Linked DNA regions of Drosophila melanogaster. The protein of the gene in region 2 purifies or fractionates together with the protein of the main gene of each other region. This does not show direct contact. Each region holds a gene or a part of one and is shown on either strand. Other genes may lie near its edges. The genes, in order: numb and spdo.

What was found.
Region 1: the proteins of spdo (region 2) and numb purify together in Drosophila melanogaster (affinity purification with western blotting; 6 studies listed by BioGRID). This does not show direct contact.

What each region holds. Positions count from the first base shown.
Region 1 is NT_033779.5:9,446,203-9,454,751, reverse strand, and holds the start of numb (numb), read right to left. Parts: upstream 4,923-8,549; 5' UTR 4,371-4,922; intron 4,157-4,370; 5' UTR 4,132-4,156; intron 1-4,131.
Region 2 is NT_033777.3:30,475,054-30,483,213, forward strand, and holds spdo (sanpodo), read left to right. Parts: upstream 1-1,630; 5' UTR 1,631-1,759; coding exon 1,760-3,121; intron 3,122-3,200; coding exon 3,201-3,536; 3' UTR 3,537-3,796; downstream 3,797-8,160. Other genes in the region: PH4alphaEFB (prolyl-4-hydroxylase-alpha EFB), read left to right, coding at 4,066-4,374, 4,540-4,727.

The DNA.
Region 1 (8,549 bases), on a different chromosome or scaffold from region 2:
GTAGGTAGTATATGTACCATCCATACATCCATACATAATATACCTTATAAGAAGTGTTCTGTCCTGGCGAACACGAGACATGCAAGCGGGTCACAATTCGAACAACTTCGAAATAGTTTGCATCTGTCGTTTGAAACGAATGCAGCCCCTGCCGGCAGTTGTTGTTCGGCTTTCTGTCTCTTTCGCACCTTTTACCAGGATCCTGCCATATGGCTCGGTGCACGTGGCGAAGGATTCTCGAAGGATTCTCTGGTTAAGTGGGTACTCGGACTCGCGCACATGCCGCCGTCTGTTCTCAGCATAGTGACTTCGATTTGCTACGATTTCCGAATTTCCAGGTAAACGGAATCGTTTGGTTCGTGTCTCAACAGGACGATCGAAGATCCTTGTTATCCTTTGTTTGCTCGCCAGCCGGCAGATGCGACGGTAATTACATTCGACTTTAGCCACTTTTGTGAGCGTACGATTTTGTTTCTGCGAACCACGCTTACAAGCTTTCTGTTTACACTCATTATGCAAATAAATATTTCAATGACTCAACGCGCTGTGGCAAACTTAACAAAAGTTAACCGAATTTTTCGGGGAACCTGTTTCCGAGCCGTGCGACACGTTATAGCCATTAAAATATGCAATTCAATGAAGAAATGAAGACCAAAGGTGAGAAACACAGAGAAATTTTCAACAACCAATCATTCATCCAAGGCACATTTACCATTACGCATTCATAACTCATAAAGCGAGGGAAAATCGTAGAGGAAAATCACTGGGGAATACTAAGAACTAATTTAATATGCACAAGAATGTATAATGCGTTGAAAACAAATTCCTAAGACAATAGCCAAACCAAAGCTTATTTGAATTTATTCAATCCTTATACTGAATTTGTAATGACCCTGGAAACTTGATACAAATGCTTCGATGTGACAGAAAAATATATTAGATTACAAAACAAGATTTTTAAAGGCACTAGTAGTTTAATTTCCTAAGTATTTATCCAAATGTTGATCTCCAGCAAACGTCGTGTAATCAAAGTACACAAGATGTAATATTTTTCTTTCCCAGACAGAAGCAAACGTAAAACTGGCTAAAGAGCTCTTTTTTATCTGACAGTTTTAAAATGGGAAAGGGATTTTTCAAAATGTGACTTTGCGATAAGCAAAACAACAGGAGAATTTGTTTGCTTACAAGTTTTGTGGAAAGTTACGTGACATCACCAGCAACTATGTTTAGATAACTGCTAAGTTTAGACGATTATCCAACCGATTTATGGCGGCAAAGGTCGTCGCGGAGGCAAAGTGGTCCAAAATTCGAGGCGATGGAAAGTCAGCCAAGCCTGACGATTTTCCAAACGGTTGTCTCCCGCTATTTTCCAGTGGCATTCTCTGCTCTGATTGTCATAGTTTCGTCGTCAAAAGGGGGAAGGAGGAGGAGAGTCAAATCAATTTTATGGCGCACAAAAGTGTAACCACGTTAGTTTTCTCTGTTCCAATTGTCAACGCTCGTCTTCTGTCGACGCCAGGCAAATAGACATCACACAAAACAGCTGTTGGCCAATTGGTTTAGCAATTTCCGGGTGCCAGGCGCCCAAAAGTAGGCAGTGCAAATACCCAATGAAAATAATCGATAGGAAACTAAACAAACAACCCATATACTTGCCAAAAGAAGCCATCCTAGTGTTTTTTGTGGGGGCGCAGTAATACTGGCGCAAATAGTCCCCTATTTGCCTAATAAGCCAGGCGAACAGGTGTGTCACGGTATTTGGGTTACATATAAGAATTTGGCATAGGTAAATAAACGTTCTATTTCAATAGAATTTTATATCAGAGCTAAAGTAATTACATACACAATTTGACAAACTATAGTTTCTATATAAGATTAATCCTTTATCAGCGCACAACCAGCTGACAGACCGGAAATTGAACTGGCTCATTAAAGGCAATAAAAAAGGAGCTAGGAACGGAAATTCTCGTAATCATATCCAAGCATGCCCTTTGACATTCTTAAGGCGCTGCGGCTTTGGCCAACTTAGCCAAGCCAAGGCCAAGTTATTACCAAGTTGGCGTGTCGACTTAGTCGGGTCTTCGAGAGGCGAGAAAAGTTTTTGGCATTAATGCGAAATGTTTGCTGTTCAGCTTTACGGCTAGTTAGCTATTGGCAGGCAAGAAAAATGCCAAGTATAAACAAAAAGTTACAAACTCTCTAATACCCTTTAAGGTTCATAATTGTAATTTTTTGCAGACTTTCAAAGCAATTGCAAGTGGTTTTTATAAAAGAAATACAAGTGGGGACACCTAAAGGAATCCCCGTGTCTTCTAGGCCGATTTAATAGCGTTATTTTCTATTAAAATCTGCCTGTTAATCGACGCAGCATTTAAGTATCAACTTAATGACAAAACGTTTACATGCATAATTATCCAATTTTTTGCATTTTTAATTTCCTGCCTTAGATGTAGAATGCCAGGTGCCACATGCCCGCTGTGTCCCGTCTCCAGAGCTAAGTTAATGGCCCAGAAGTTGAAGTTCTAGCTGGCAGCCATGACTTGGAGTTAGACTTGGTCTTGGACTTGTTCCCGTGTTCTTGACTTGTCCAACGTCTCTCTTTGTTGGCAGTTGGCTGGCTGGCTGCTGCTGCTGTTGTTAATCATCGGCGTTGCAGCATAAAAATAGAAAGGAAATTCCATGAAATTAAAGTTTTATGCAGCCACAGCCGAGGCAGCGATCAAGTTGAAGTTGAAGTTGAGGTCTAACTCCTCGACTGAGTGTTGAACTTGCAGAGCGATGGGATGGAGCTCGAGGATGGGGCGCTGGAGCTTGGAGCTGAGAGCTGAGAGCTCGGTCTTAGCCAAACGTTTAGCGAAAGCCGCGTCTCGAAGAATGCAGTCGACTTGGCATAATCGAAAGGCATGTGAGAAAAGTTGGAGTCGGCTGGCTGCCAGCCAGCCACCAAACCGGTTCCATTCGACGCGGCTCCACCATCCCAGAGTTGGCTTAACTCAAGTCCAACTGCACCCAGGTAGCATTATGTTCTTACTTTTTTCCTCGGCTTGTTACCAGTTTTTTTTTTCGTTCGTGTTTCTGGCTTTTCTTGGAATGTTTCTGAATGGTTTTTGCTGGAGCTTTTTGCCTGAAGTTTTTATGAACTGCTGAGATTTATAATCTGACCAGGCTGCAAAGCATTGCTACCAAAAAAAAAAGAAAAAAGTGCAGCATAAATCAGGGAGCCCTTTTGGTGGAAACTCAAGATCTTGAAGAACATTCCGAGTAAATCAAGTTGAACAGCATAATTATGCAAAGCAAAAGTATCCCATAGTTTGCGGCTGCAAAAAACTCTCTTCTGGCGAAAGCGGGGGCCAAGTTGGCATTTAATTACACTGTTATTATAATATATTTTCACCCACTCTCGGTTGGTTTCGTTCTCAGCCGCCCCAAACCAATTCATTACTCATTTCAATGGGAAATTTTCCCCATTTTCCATTTTGCCTTTGCCACTTTTCTTTTTTTTCTTCGTTTTGTTTGTTATCGCAGTAATTTATGCAGTTGACAGTCAAATAATTTGGCACACAGTATACATTAAAATAAATTAACTTTACAAAAGAGCTGGGAGAAGAGTTTGTGGTAAGAATATGTGCATGCTTCGGCAGAAATTCATTGGATTTTAAACTGAAATGTGGGACTATATTTGAAATAGTCTAAATAGTCTTTATATACGATCGATTCGAAGAGTTGTAGTCATGCCAAATGATTCATCTTCGGAAACGTGAGAGACTGGAGACCAGTAGAATCCAGTCAATCGTAACTTTTTAGATATATATGTACGTATGTGCGTATGTATGTATGTGCGTTCATGTGATCCAGCCAAAATCAGCTAATTGCTAATTGTGTTTATATATTTCATTTGTTAACCCTCTCTCAACAATTGCTATGTTCAAGTGCAAACTGCAAAGATTTATTGAGTTTTTTAGCTGGGTAATTCATTCTAAATTACTGGTATCGCTATAACCTTAATGGATATACTCCCCCTGATTATTAAAATTAATGCCCCAAAACGTATTTTGAATACTTTAGCTTATTGCGAAGCAAAGTCTAGTATAGTGTTACATAGTTTGAACAGCTGTTTTTAGTTTTCTATACCAATGCATATTGAAGACGTCAAAAACTGGAATTATTACAAAAATGAATATTATGTTTTTACAAATGTCAAAGCAGCAACAACTAGCGTAAAGCTGTAAAAGAATTGCATATGTATATGCAAATCTGATTTTGCACCACAATAAACTCGTTTTGACTTGGCTTTAAATCCGAAGCTCAAGTTAAGCTCAACTTTGGCTGTTGTTACTGTTTTTTTTTTTTTTTTGGTTTTAAACATTTACCATATATATATCGGGATCGGTTTGTATTTGAGTTGCTTTTTTTGGTATATTCCAAAAAGCCGAGTTTTGTTGTCAGTCTGTTTTTGTTTTGATCACATTCGTATGTATAATTAATAAATAAATCCGGTTCGGGCCTTATATAACTTTCTTGCTCATTCAGTGGATTTTTGCCAACGTTTCGGTTTTAACTATTTATTAATTCCAAGAACACCTCGCACAGCACACAGCACACGGAATGTGGGGAAAATCGCGAAAAACCGAAATAACGACAACGCGACACCGATTAAAACGATCCCCGTGTTAAGAGCCCGGTGCCCGGTAAATGGATGGCTGGGATCGGCTTGGCCCAAAAGGCCTGGACTACTTAGGTGTTAACTTTTTTACTATGACCCCCCCGGAAATTGGAAAAAGGTTACACTATCCCTACGCGGACATTTGGACAACCGACGACGACAGTGGGCCGAAAGCGAATGGAAGCGGAGGGAAAACGGAACGCGTTTGTCCGGCAAGCGGTAAGCGGTTAGCTCGATGCGGCGGCTCAAATTGCTCTACTGTACTGGCTGACTCTGGCCGCACGCTCAGCGCTGTTTGAGTCGAGAGGAAAGAGTGCGAGCGTGCAAAGAGCGGAAGAGAGCGACAGCTGTTACAGGGTGTTTCGGCCTGTGTGTGTGTGCACTGAGAAAAATCGAACAAATTGGCCCTGATTTCAACTAAATGTGGTGTTAAGATCACTTTGAGGGAAGAGTGATCTTACTACTTTTCTATCGATTTGGAAAAGGTCGTCATCAAAGGGTATTGCCTTATTCTATTACGCGCTTTTAATACAACCTATTAAGCCATTATTATCATAGTGTTTTATTTTATTTATTATATTACAAGTTGTTAAGTCCTCTTAAAACTTTAAAGTGATTTTTTCAGTGCACCAGTACGTTTGTGGATTTGCTCAGTTCCATTGTGTTTATTTACTACCAACGACGACGTCGTTTTGCTTCTTCCATCTCACCTCCGCTCTGCTGCGTTTGTATTTGTTGTGATAATGATAAAACTGCGACGCGTTTCTGCAGCTTGTAGGTTTTCAAGAGTGGGAGTGAGATAGCAGAAGTTGAGCGAGCGAGAGTGGCGTTTAAGGTATCTCGGCCAGGTATAATCTCAGATGCGCTGCATTTAGAGATCGCGATTTGGTGACCGTGGCTTAAAAGATTTGCGGTTGGGATAAGTTGAGAAAATTCTTGGAAAACACGAGCTCAATTTTATTATTTAACTCTGGGAATTTCCCAAATGGGCCAGTGCTAAGATAATTACAAAGCCGGGTAGTTCAAAAAGGTCCTCTTATTGTTTTGTAATATCTCTGGCTCTCAGATTTATCGCTAACCCATACGCCTTGGATTTAAAGTTCGGAATTGTCTTTAGTCGTCTTTCTTTAGCAGCGCTCAAATTCTTGGAAACTTTGTAAAATAAATTATGAATTTTGCACGGGTGTAAAAATTACAAGTTTTAAGGATGTTATCTTTAAAAACTTGCGTAATAAAAATTACTAATCCCGAAAATTTTTTTGTCTTCGAAATCAGGATTTGAGATACCCCATTGAAGTGATAGAAGGGCATTCAAAACCAGTTGGTTTCGTTGGTTCTGCAGCTGCCAGTTTTTTCCACATGGAGTATGAAGAGCGAGTGGTTTGGTTTGAATGGAAATGATTATGGCACTCAAGAGAGTCATCAAAGAGAGTTACCAAAGACTTAGCTATTAACAAAATGCAAAAGATGGCTAGGTGGTTATGAAATCCCAACGGACATACAAAACAAATGAAAAGAATAAAAACTGATTAACTGAACAATAATCAAGGCTCGGTAATCAATGTATTGAACTTATCGATTTGAATTAGTTGCCCAACCTAAATTCCGTGACAACAATGGCAAAATGATCGATCGAAACCGTAGAACAAAAGAGCGCGCGATGCAAGGTCGTTCGCTCTTTAAGAGAAAATTGTACCCTAAGAGAAACATAGATAACTCCGAAAGATAAATACCCAAATGTGCGCGTGAGACAGTCATACATATAGATAATAAGAGAGTTTTCAGCAATGAAACGTGCGAAAAATTGCAATGCAGCAGCGACTTTAATCCAGGTAGCCCATAAAATCAGGTAGTAAAAAGAATGGTATCAAAACTATTGGGAGCAAACCATTGCTACCTACACATGGCACCCAATCGCGCCAACATTATCGCAATTTAAATGCAGAAAAAACAAAGTGCTGCAACTGATGAAAAAAGCAGACTTGCACTCAGAAAAAATGTAAATTCTTATTGCTATCATTTAATAATACAAATATTTCCAAATTTCATTAAAAGATGACATAAAATTTTCAAACTTTTTCGAGCTTGGGATAAGTTATTCAAAAAGTAATAAAATCAAAATTAACCATAATAAGTGCATACTTATGAATTGATTTACTCAAAACACGAGAAGATGTTAGTTATATAAAGCTTATGTCCATTATCATTTGACTCCATTACGTTAAAATTAAAGACGGTTATGCCTTTTTCCGTGTGTTAAATGTGTTAAAGCCATTACAGACATTACTCGACACTTTTAGATAAACCATAATGAAAACAGCTAGCACTGAATGAGGAGACCCCAGATCCCAGACAACCCACCCACCTCCCGTCGCAGACAAATAATTCCAGCTCCGCTGGTATGAACCGACAAAAGATAATGCCAGACAATGGGGGAAAGGGGAAAACGGAAGAAGCATAGGGAAGCATAGAAATAGGGAAATGGCCATAAGCTGAGAAATCAATGTCAGTCAATGGAGCTGCGGGGCAGACAAAAGCCACATGTGCAACCTAATCAAAATTTCAATCAAAATGCGCAAAATGCCGCAATGAAAGGCTCACAACAAATGGCAACAAATACGCTCAAACACAGTCTAATACGTTGGCATGAGTAATCCAAACCGAATCAATTCACTCGAATTGAACCCAATCTGGCCTGTAATTGCGATTAAGAAGCCAATTACTCATACAAATTGCTGGGTCAATTGTTAAGGATTTCCATTTGCAGACAAGAAGATTAACAAATCAATTGTTGGGCAATAATTGAAATAATTTTGCGACAATTCGAAGGGGGTGATGAATAATCGATTAACCCAATGTTTTGATAATCAAGATTCAAGGTAATTTAGTTTTTGTGATTTTTTAAAGGTTTGTATATTAACTGTGATGATTTAATTCCATTTTGGGTTTAGGAAAAATTGTTAAAAATATATTACGGAAAAAAACTTGTTTGTTGTTTCGTTCTCTCTCTCTCGTTGAAAAAAATATTTGAAATTGCTTACCTTGTATTAGTTTAAGGTGCCTTGAAAAAGCTGAAATGAAAAAAATATTCTTTATTATAAATAGAGTATTAAAGCAGTTATTAAAGTTATTATTTAAGCTGCTGTTTCCGTTACAAAATTTTAAAAATGTTTTTAATCTGGCAATGCTTGAACTCAAGTCTCTCTTAAAAGAAACTTAAGAGCCTGCTTACACCCAATGCATGCACATTCACACTTGGGCACTCAGCTGACAATGTCAGTGACGTTTATAAAAAAGTTCCCACGGTCATTAGGGTCATGACAGCTCTAACATATTTTGTCTCGTGTTCGCAATTTGTTTTTAATTTAAAACTGCATGTGTGTATGTCTATGTATGTGTTTGGCCAAGTAAATGTGTTCTTTTAGCCTATTGCTTATGAGCGTTTCTTGAGTACGTTCTTGAGACGTCGCCGAGCTGAGCCGCAAAACTTGAGTGGCTCGAGGGCTTAAAAGCTTTGTCGGGCAGGTGAAAGAGCTTTTTGTTAATGCTAAGCTCGGCTTGCGGTTGAATGAACTGAAGCTTAAAGTGATTTAAAGTTATTGCACTGAGGATATAAAGTATCACAAGGTATGTACGCTTATAGGAATTAATTGTGTTTAAAAAAGATTTTGTATATCAAATTCTTCTTCCTATTGCCATACATTTATTTTTAAAGATACAATTTAGTAAATAATACTACATACATACATATATGGAAAAAAACAAAAAACACCATTATTGTCACACTCATCATTACTCAAGTATATTATTTTAGGTTAAAGACATCATAAAATTAAAAATTAAATTCGTTTAATTGTAACCCTACTTATTTATCTTATGGATATTT
Region 2 (8,160 bases):
AAATAATATGGGGGAGAGAGCAGGGTGCAGGATGCGGTGAGACAACTCCCCTAATCAAATAATGCCAGTCGCACTCAGGACTCAGGATTCAGGATCTATCTTTGCGGCTGTTTCTCTGCTGTTCAGTTCAGTTGAGTTTAGTTGAGTTTCTGTTCCTGCATTTGTACCTTGGTTGTGTCACAACAAAGGACGAGACAGGATCCTCGCAAACAGCTGACAGCTGTGTGCCTGCCGTCTCTGTCTGTTATCCTTGTGCGCTGTCATTGCCCCTGCCTTTGAGTATCTGCATCCGAGTATCCTTCGGATACTGTGCAGAAACCCCGCACTCTAGTCGCGTGCCGTCTGCCGGCGTTTAACTTTATATGCATCTTAAATTTTCCCACCGACCAGCTGTTGGTGCCTCCAATTTCTGGCTAATCCGCTTGACAAATGCCCCCGGCTGCGCTGATTTGCTTCTGGCCAAAAGGCAATTAAGTTGGCCACCACAAAAGGACAACACGCGTGCATCCAACCTGCGGGCTCAAAGGCATGTACATATGTATGCACGTGGGAGGCGAAATCCGGATAAAGTTGACCCACGAACTCTTCGTTTTTTATCGTTTTTCTCTGACAACCAAATGTAACGGTCGCTTGGGCAACAAAAATCCGGGGAGGGCTGCCTTTAGGGAAGGTTTTTGGTCTGCACAAACATCAGAGCTGAGCAAGGATTATTTTTAAGAAGCAAGCGCGACTGAAGGGTACCCCTTAAAATAAATAAGCGAAGTGAAATAATTTAATCTCTTAAGTTCTTTTGTTTCATTTCTTTCTGACTGAAGCTAAGCTCTACTTTATGGCTTGACGCTTTTACGTCAGAAATATGTGCATATTAAACTAAACTGTTTTGTGAAAGCATTCATTAAAAGTTTGTTTTAATGGTGCCGATATACGGATGCTAACCATATATAATAAAAGCACGATATGTTTTCAACAAACAATAAACTATTTTAAATATTTCGGTCGAGAAACAAAGCAGCGGATGAACAAAAGGAACAAGAACAACTAGTTCTTATATGATTATAATAAAGAAAAAACACTTTTATGATAGTTAAATTATGTTGAATTCTCGGTGATGACAGTGTGCTGATATGATCTGCTCTACACTGGTTATGTTCGAGTATAATCTTAGGTGGATTTAAAACACATTCATCATACCCCTCAACTCGCCAACTAAGTGGTAGCAAAACAGAATTAAAGTCGCAAGGGAGCGCATATGAGTTGGTAAATAAGAATTAAAAACGCCGATAAACGCGAACCGAATAAAACGCCGGCTGCTCCTGCAATTCGCCAGGGGTTTTTAGGTTTTGGTTAGGATCGCGTTGAGACGTCTCAGTTGGAAGTGAAATGCGTTTCAACCCCCGTTCGTTCGTCGAGCAGCAGGAGCAGATGTTTCTGGGTTTTCACATTCGGTTCGGTTCCAATGGCCTAATGGAACGCGCCAAACACAGTCGGTCATTGTACGGGTGTACGGGTGTCTTATGTACAAGTAAATGGTGTTTTATGGGGTGGGGACTCGTATCGGAGCACGATCCACTCGACTGCGCGCCGGCGCAGGAAGTGGAGGAAGTTGAGGAGCTGCCGTCTGGAACGGCTCTCTAGATCAGTCGAGTCGCAGTTGCCGAGGCGAGCGGATCGTGAACAGTGCTACGAACCCAAAGAAAACCCAAAGTAGTGAAAGAACACCCCTAAGAGGTTGTGGAATTGCCACCAGTACAGTGCCAACATGTCGCAGCATAACTATACGAACCCGGCCTTCTGCCAGAACAGCGAGTATTACCCGGTGCCCAGCGGCAACTCGTCGCGAGTGGAGTCCATCTACAACAGAAGCCTCCAGATGAACTTTGGAGCGGCTCCTCCGCGCGCCACTCGAGATCCCCGCGAGGGTCCACTGCGAATGCAGCGTAGCATGTCCACGCGATCGGTGACGCGGAAACAACACCAGCAGCAGCAGCAGCAGCAACACCAACAGCAGATACACCAGCAACACCTGGCTCAGCAGCAGCAACACCAGCCGCAATCCTCTAGTGGTCGCTATGCCTTGGTTCCCCTAGAGGAACTGAACAGCAGTAGGGCCAGTAGATACGCCATAGTTCCAGGACAGGCGGCACAGAGACTGGCCCGATCACAGGATAATCTGGATCGCTATGGCTCCAGACATGGATTGCACGAAGAGGAGGAGCCTCACTCCTTCCACGAGGAACCCCATCAGGAGACCCAGTTTGCCAGCTTGCCACCGATACTTAATTTGCCGCCCAAGCCCAGGAATATTAACAACAATACCAATGCCAATCAAACCCAGATTAAGCATGCTTTTAGTAGCGACTTCGGCAGCAAGACCTTCTTGATAGTGGATAAGAATAGCAACCAGAGGTACCAGATGGTGCCCACCGCCGAGGACGAGGAGCTGGTAGACGAGAACCAGGAGATCATACAGATGCACAATGGCCGCGCCCATCGATATGCAGTGGTGCCCACGGATGCGGACGACGATGATCTGGCGGAGGAGCAGGAGCAGCAGGAAACCTGCCTGAGCAACATGGAATTGAGCAGGCAGTACGCAGCGAGGACCTCAACGCCGCAGCAAAAGAATGCGGCTGCCGCTACGAGGGCCCTGCACGAGCTCCTGACCACGCCCAGGAAGATGCAGCCGCCTCCGCGATTGGCGCACTCAACGCCCCGGAACGCCGCCCACCACGAGCAGCTGCAGCTGGAAAGGCGCTTGGAGATCTACAAAAGCCAACAGATCTACCAAAGCCAACAAGTTGGAGCGGTAGTAGGAGTCCCTCCAACCTTGCCACTTCGCCAGAATCGACTCTCCCCCCAGAGACTTCACTACGAGACCGTGAAGCCGCTTCCCATGCAGATCGCCGATCGATCCATGGCCGTCATCAGTCCCAGGGTCCAGGAGCAGGGGCAGGAGCAGGAACGGGAACAGGACATGAGCAGCATCCAGGGAAAGGGCAAGAAAAACAGCTCCTATCCGCAGAAGATGGCCAATGCCACCATTACCTTGGCCGTTGTCTCCCTGATGCTCGTCTTGGGCAGCACCATGAATGCGGGGCTCATCATCTACATGATAGCACACGTAAGTACTCTCAAATACTTTTAAAGATATTCATTTTGTCCATGGAAACATTTGAATAACACTTTTTCTTCGCCTACAGCTCGGAAAGTCCTTTTACCTGCAGTTTAGCCTGGTGGCCTCCTTCTCCGGAATGGGACTCGGCTTCCTGGGATTCAAGTCGCGCCACTGCGAGTGGCTGCCGAACAGGAGCTATAGTTCCGGCTATATCCTGGTCACCGTATTTTGCCTATTCAAGTCCTGCGGATTGCTTGTGATACTCGTGGTGGACCCCTTCCCCGGATTTCCTGTCCACGATGTGACCACTGGCGTCATCCTTGGACTGTCGACTTTCACCATGTTCTTCATCGGATTGGGAGTGCTGGGCAGCTTGTGGTGCCACCGACCTCCGCCAGACAACCGCGTCAACGTGGTCTAATACCCTGGAAATAGTTAATCCTAGACTCTAATTAGTTGTACACCATCCACTTCGAATTCAAGAACTTGACACACCGAACGGCTAAAAGACCAAAAACAAGAATTAGATTTATAATCAGCGGAAGATCATCATCCCCCAAACGACTGTATATAACAAGTGGGTTGTACCTATTGCTAACACTTAGTTTGCTTAACTTATTGTTCACCTAAGTATAAGTATGTTATGGAATAAGAATAAAATAAAGGCACGTAGATACCAGCACAGCATTTTGTATCAATAAGGAAATGGTTAAAGTGTTCAATTAGGTTAGTTCTTTAACAATCAAAAATATATATATGGTGAATAAACACTTTCAAATATAGGTCGAGTGTTAAAATTATAGATTCAGCGTCGTGATACTTAACTTAATTGAGTAAACAATTATTTTTCAGCTTTCAGCACCTTTTAACTATTGAAATACGGTGCATATTTTAAAGCAATGTGTTTTGCTCTTCTGTCTACTAAGTTTTGCCCTCTCTTTAAATTGCAGCAAAATGGACGAGTACCAGAGGGAGCACTCGGATGCCTCCCATGATATAACCGCCTATGTATCCAATCCAATCAATGCGTACCTGCTGACTAAGCGGCTAACCACCGATTGGCGTCAGGTGGAGAACCTCATGGAGCACGACGTGGGCACGGATTTCCTGCAGAACATCACCCAGTATCGCAGCCTCCTGAAGTTCCCCTCCGACGAGGACCTCAATGGCGCGGCGGTGGCCTTGCTCCGCCTGCAAGACACCTACCAACTGGACACTTCGAGTGTGGCGAGGGGCAAGCTGAATGGCATTCAGTACAGGTAAGTTTTTGTCCAACTAAATGCATGCGAGAAGTAAGGAAGTAAGCTAGAGCTATACAAAGCTGAGCACAGTCATCGATTTTCTGGTTACCAAAAAAATAAACTTCTCGAAGTGGAGCGGCCAAGTCCCTGGGATACTCACTGACCAAATTTATTATCCCGCAGCACGGAAATGTCCTCGGATGACTGCTTCGAGTTGGGTAGACAATCGTACGTGAACCACGACTACTACCACACGGTGCTCTGGATGAACGAGGCGATGGCCCGCATGCTGGAGGAGCCGACCAACCACACCCAGAGCTTCACCAAGGCCGACATCCTCGAGTACCTGGCCTTCTCCACCTACAAGGAGGGTGAGTGCAAGTCCGAGTCCAGTGCGACTCCCCGACATCCGTCCGCAAAGTGCCCCCGGTTGCACTTGCAAAAACCGCTGCTTAAATTGAAATATCGTTTTCTAATGAAATTTATTTAAATACTTCACTGGCTCCTTTGACAAGAAATATTCAAGCGTTGCATGCTTCAGACCGTGAAATTATTTAAAACTTTCGCTAAAAGCTATGCGTTTACCTTTATGTACAACCATAACTATGTTAGCATACGCTCATGGCAGTGCTGCTTCAATAACTTATAAAATCTAGAAATTTTCACAGCCCCCTAAACCCGAAAATGTCCTTAAATTTCGGTAATTAAATTCTCAGAGTGTGCTCGCCACTCCATCTCGTTGTTGTCCTGGCTCGTTTGCATGGCACTTTCGAGGTCCATTTGGTTGCAGGAAATTGCACTCAGTCGCCGGCCACTTGCCTCCTGTTGTCCTGCCACTTTCCATACTTTCCACCTGGAGCCGCTCTCAGGGTTCTCCATTAAGTGCGAATAAGTGTTGGCCATCTGCCGCCAGTGCGACTTTGTTGTGGAAAGGAGGGAAGTCATCACGTAGAGCAGGGCAGGATCGGCACGTCCTCTGGCTAGGGAGTTGTATGCTTTATTAACGTCTTATTACACCGGTTAGTGTCCCCTATCCGTTCATCAACGGGCTGGCTTCACACACGCATCTGTATCCCCAGTGGGTGCTCCTTGCCTCTAGGAGGCTCCACACAGTAAGAAATTCATTTTTTTTTTTTTTTTTTTTTTATGATGTTTTTATTATTTGATCAACGCACTGTTACCCATGCGGCAACTTAATTTGATCTGCTTAAATTATTTTATTTTACAATGTGTCTTGGTTACTTAAGACTAACAGATTTTTAATCCTAAAAATGATAGGGAGAATTATAATAGTTGATATAACATAGTAATTATTATTTATTTGATTATTCTAATGAATTTTAAAACTAAGACTTTCTAGGTCAAAACCAGGTTAGGGAGGTCATGAGGGTGGTGTCGCTTGAGTCTTCTTTTGACTCTAGTCCGAGGGTCAGCATTGACCACAGCTGCAGTTCCTAGCTTCCTTGCTAGGCTGTTGGGGTGTACTCATTTAGGAATACGTGTAATTAGAACCTGAACCAGTTCTCTGAAAGCTTTATTAGCCTCTACAGTTTCGTGTATAAGCTTAAATAGTTCGTCCATTCTCGTATTGATGGCCCGAATGGAGTTGTCTAACGTCATAAATTTATTGTTAAGGCTATTGTCCGACGTTGGTATAACTTCAGCCTGCACAGTAGCACGAGCCCTAGATTGAGTCGTGTTGCGTCGAGCAATATCAGCATAAGAGATGTTGGTTCTTAATGCCTCAGCTGGTATGTAACCGCTTGAAGAACGTTGTGGAGGTTTGAGTGTGGCAATATTATTAGTCATCGGCAGCCTGGACCTTGGTTTTAGCTTCTTGGCTTTCTCTGCTCTGACAGGGCAGCTTTTGTCTGTCGAGACATGATCACCACCACAATTTATACACAGACATACGTCACTTATGCACAAAGCGGACCCGGTCATATGGGGACCACTACATTTACCACAAATAGGATCCTGGGCGCAATAGTTCTTGGAGTGTCCAAAAATTTGGCATCTTTGACATTGTAGCAGTTCTTTTCTACGTGTAGCGCGCTCAACAGTGACTCTGTATCTGCCAAGTCGAGTTATCTTAAGAGACTCTTTAACATTCGGGCCTTGTTTAAGATTAATATAAAACAAATTTTGTCTAGTTTTGAAGTTTTTTGTAGCTTCATTATCATCTTCGTTTACCTGAATGTTCTTCCAGTCAGACTTTCTGGGGCAATAGATATTAAGGACCTCATAGCCGTGATCACTAAATGCTTGTTCTATCTGCGAACTAGGAACATTAGCATGGATTCCTTTAAGCACTACTCTGTAGGGTTTTTCTTCTTTAAGTTGGTGATGCCAGAATTGACAATTTAACTTATTTAGTTCTTTTACAGCGGTGCGGAAAGCATCAGGGTTGGCTGTATAGATTCTGGATACACCAAATCTAGAGGTGCAGATGTAGTAGTTTGAGGAGCCAATACTCAGATTAAGAGCCCGTTCCAAGGTGACCGGATCACTTACACTTGGTACGCATATGGCTGGGGGTTTGCTATATTTAGCGGATTGTCCACCACCATCTCGGGCAGCAGAGTCTTCAATGTCAGAATCAGCATCCGACACGTCTTGCTCCATATTCTCCGCTTCAGCAGACAAAAGCGCGAAGCGATTGTTATTTAATGCTGCTGCAGTGGAGGTAGAGGCCTCCTCATTGAGTGGCATAGTGGCCTGCCTTTTAGTTTTACGGCTTGGAGAAGGGGTGAGGATAGGTAATGGGGGCTGAGACACGCCTTTTCGTTTCCTGTTGACAGTACGATCATGTGCTTGAAAGGGGCAATTCGCTTTAGATGGCTTATTGGGCAGTGATGACAGAGGTGTCAGCAGTCCATTGTCATAAGGCGTAGTTGGGCAAATGCTAGTGGTCACGGTTGTGCCATCAGTGTATGTAGGAGTACAGATCATGTTGGCCTGTACGTTAGAAATAGTGCAGGTAACACTTGCATTGGTGTTGCTGCTGATTGTCACCATTAAGCTGGAGACCGTAGATTGAGTTGGCATACCTTCCAGGTTAGGGGAAACAACTGCACAGCTGGCGCGGAGTTGGGAGCGTAATTCTCCTGGCTCAACACCTGCTACTTTCCTCATTTTCTCAAATTTATCGCACCCATTGCTAGGTCGCGATTGAGCAAATGAATTCTCCATTATATCAATTGTCTTTATACTTATGCCGTATAATGCAAATGATATTTACTAAACACAATAAGATTTACCGGTTTACTTGTAAGGTAAATTGTAACAACCTCCCGCTTGCGCAGCGCGCAGGGCGAGGGGCAAAAACAACACAGCTTAGAAATTGCTAGTTGCTGATAAGTTTCGCGAACCGAAGCCGTCACCGTTATGCAGTGACTAAAAATAGATTTTGTTTGTGAGATAAGCACACGATCTGCGCAAATGTTTGTGATGGATCACAATTACGTTTTTGTTTTATCCGCGACTTCTGTGAACACGTCCACTCGATTGCTCATCTCCCATGCGAATGAAGAAATTCATAGAAAACACGTAGCCTGTTAAGTTCGGTGTCTAAAAGTGTGCAGAGATTTTAGAAAGTCTTAGTCCTGACTTTTTGGCCCAGCATTGCATGCTTTTAGTTGCCTTCTTTTAATTACTGGCACTTTCAATGCTTTCAAAACGATATGAGCAATGTAATTTGACTTGTGAATATTGGTTCACTTTTTATCCTACTATGCTCTGGGTCTAGCTCAACAAACAACCGATGGGCGTGGCCGGGGGCGGGGCGGAAGTGCGGCCATATTG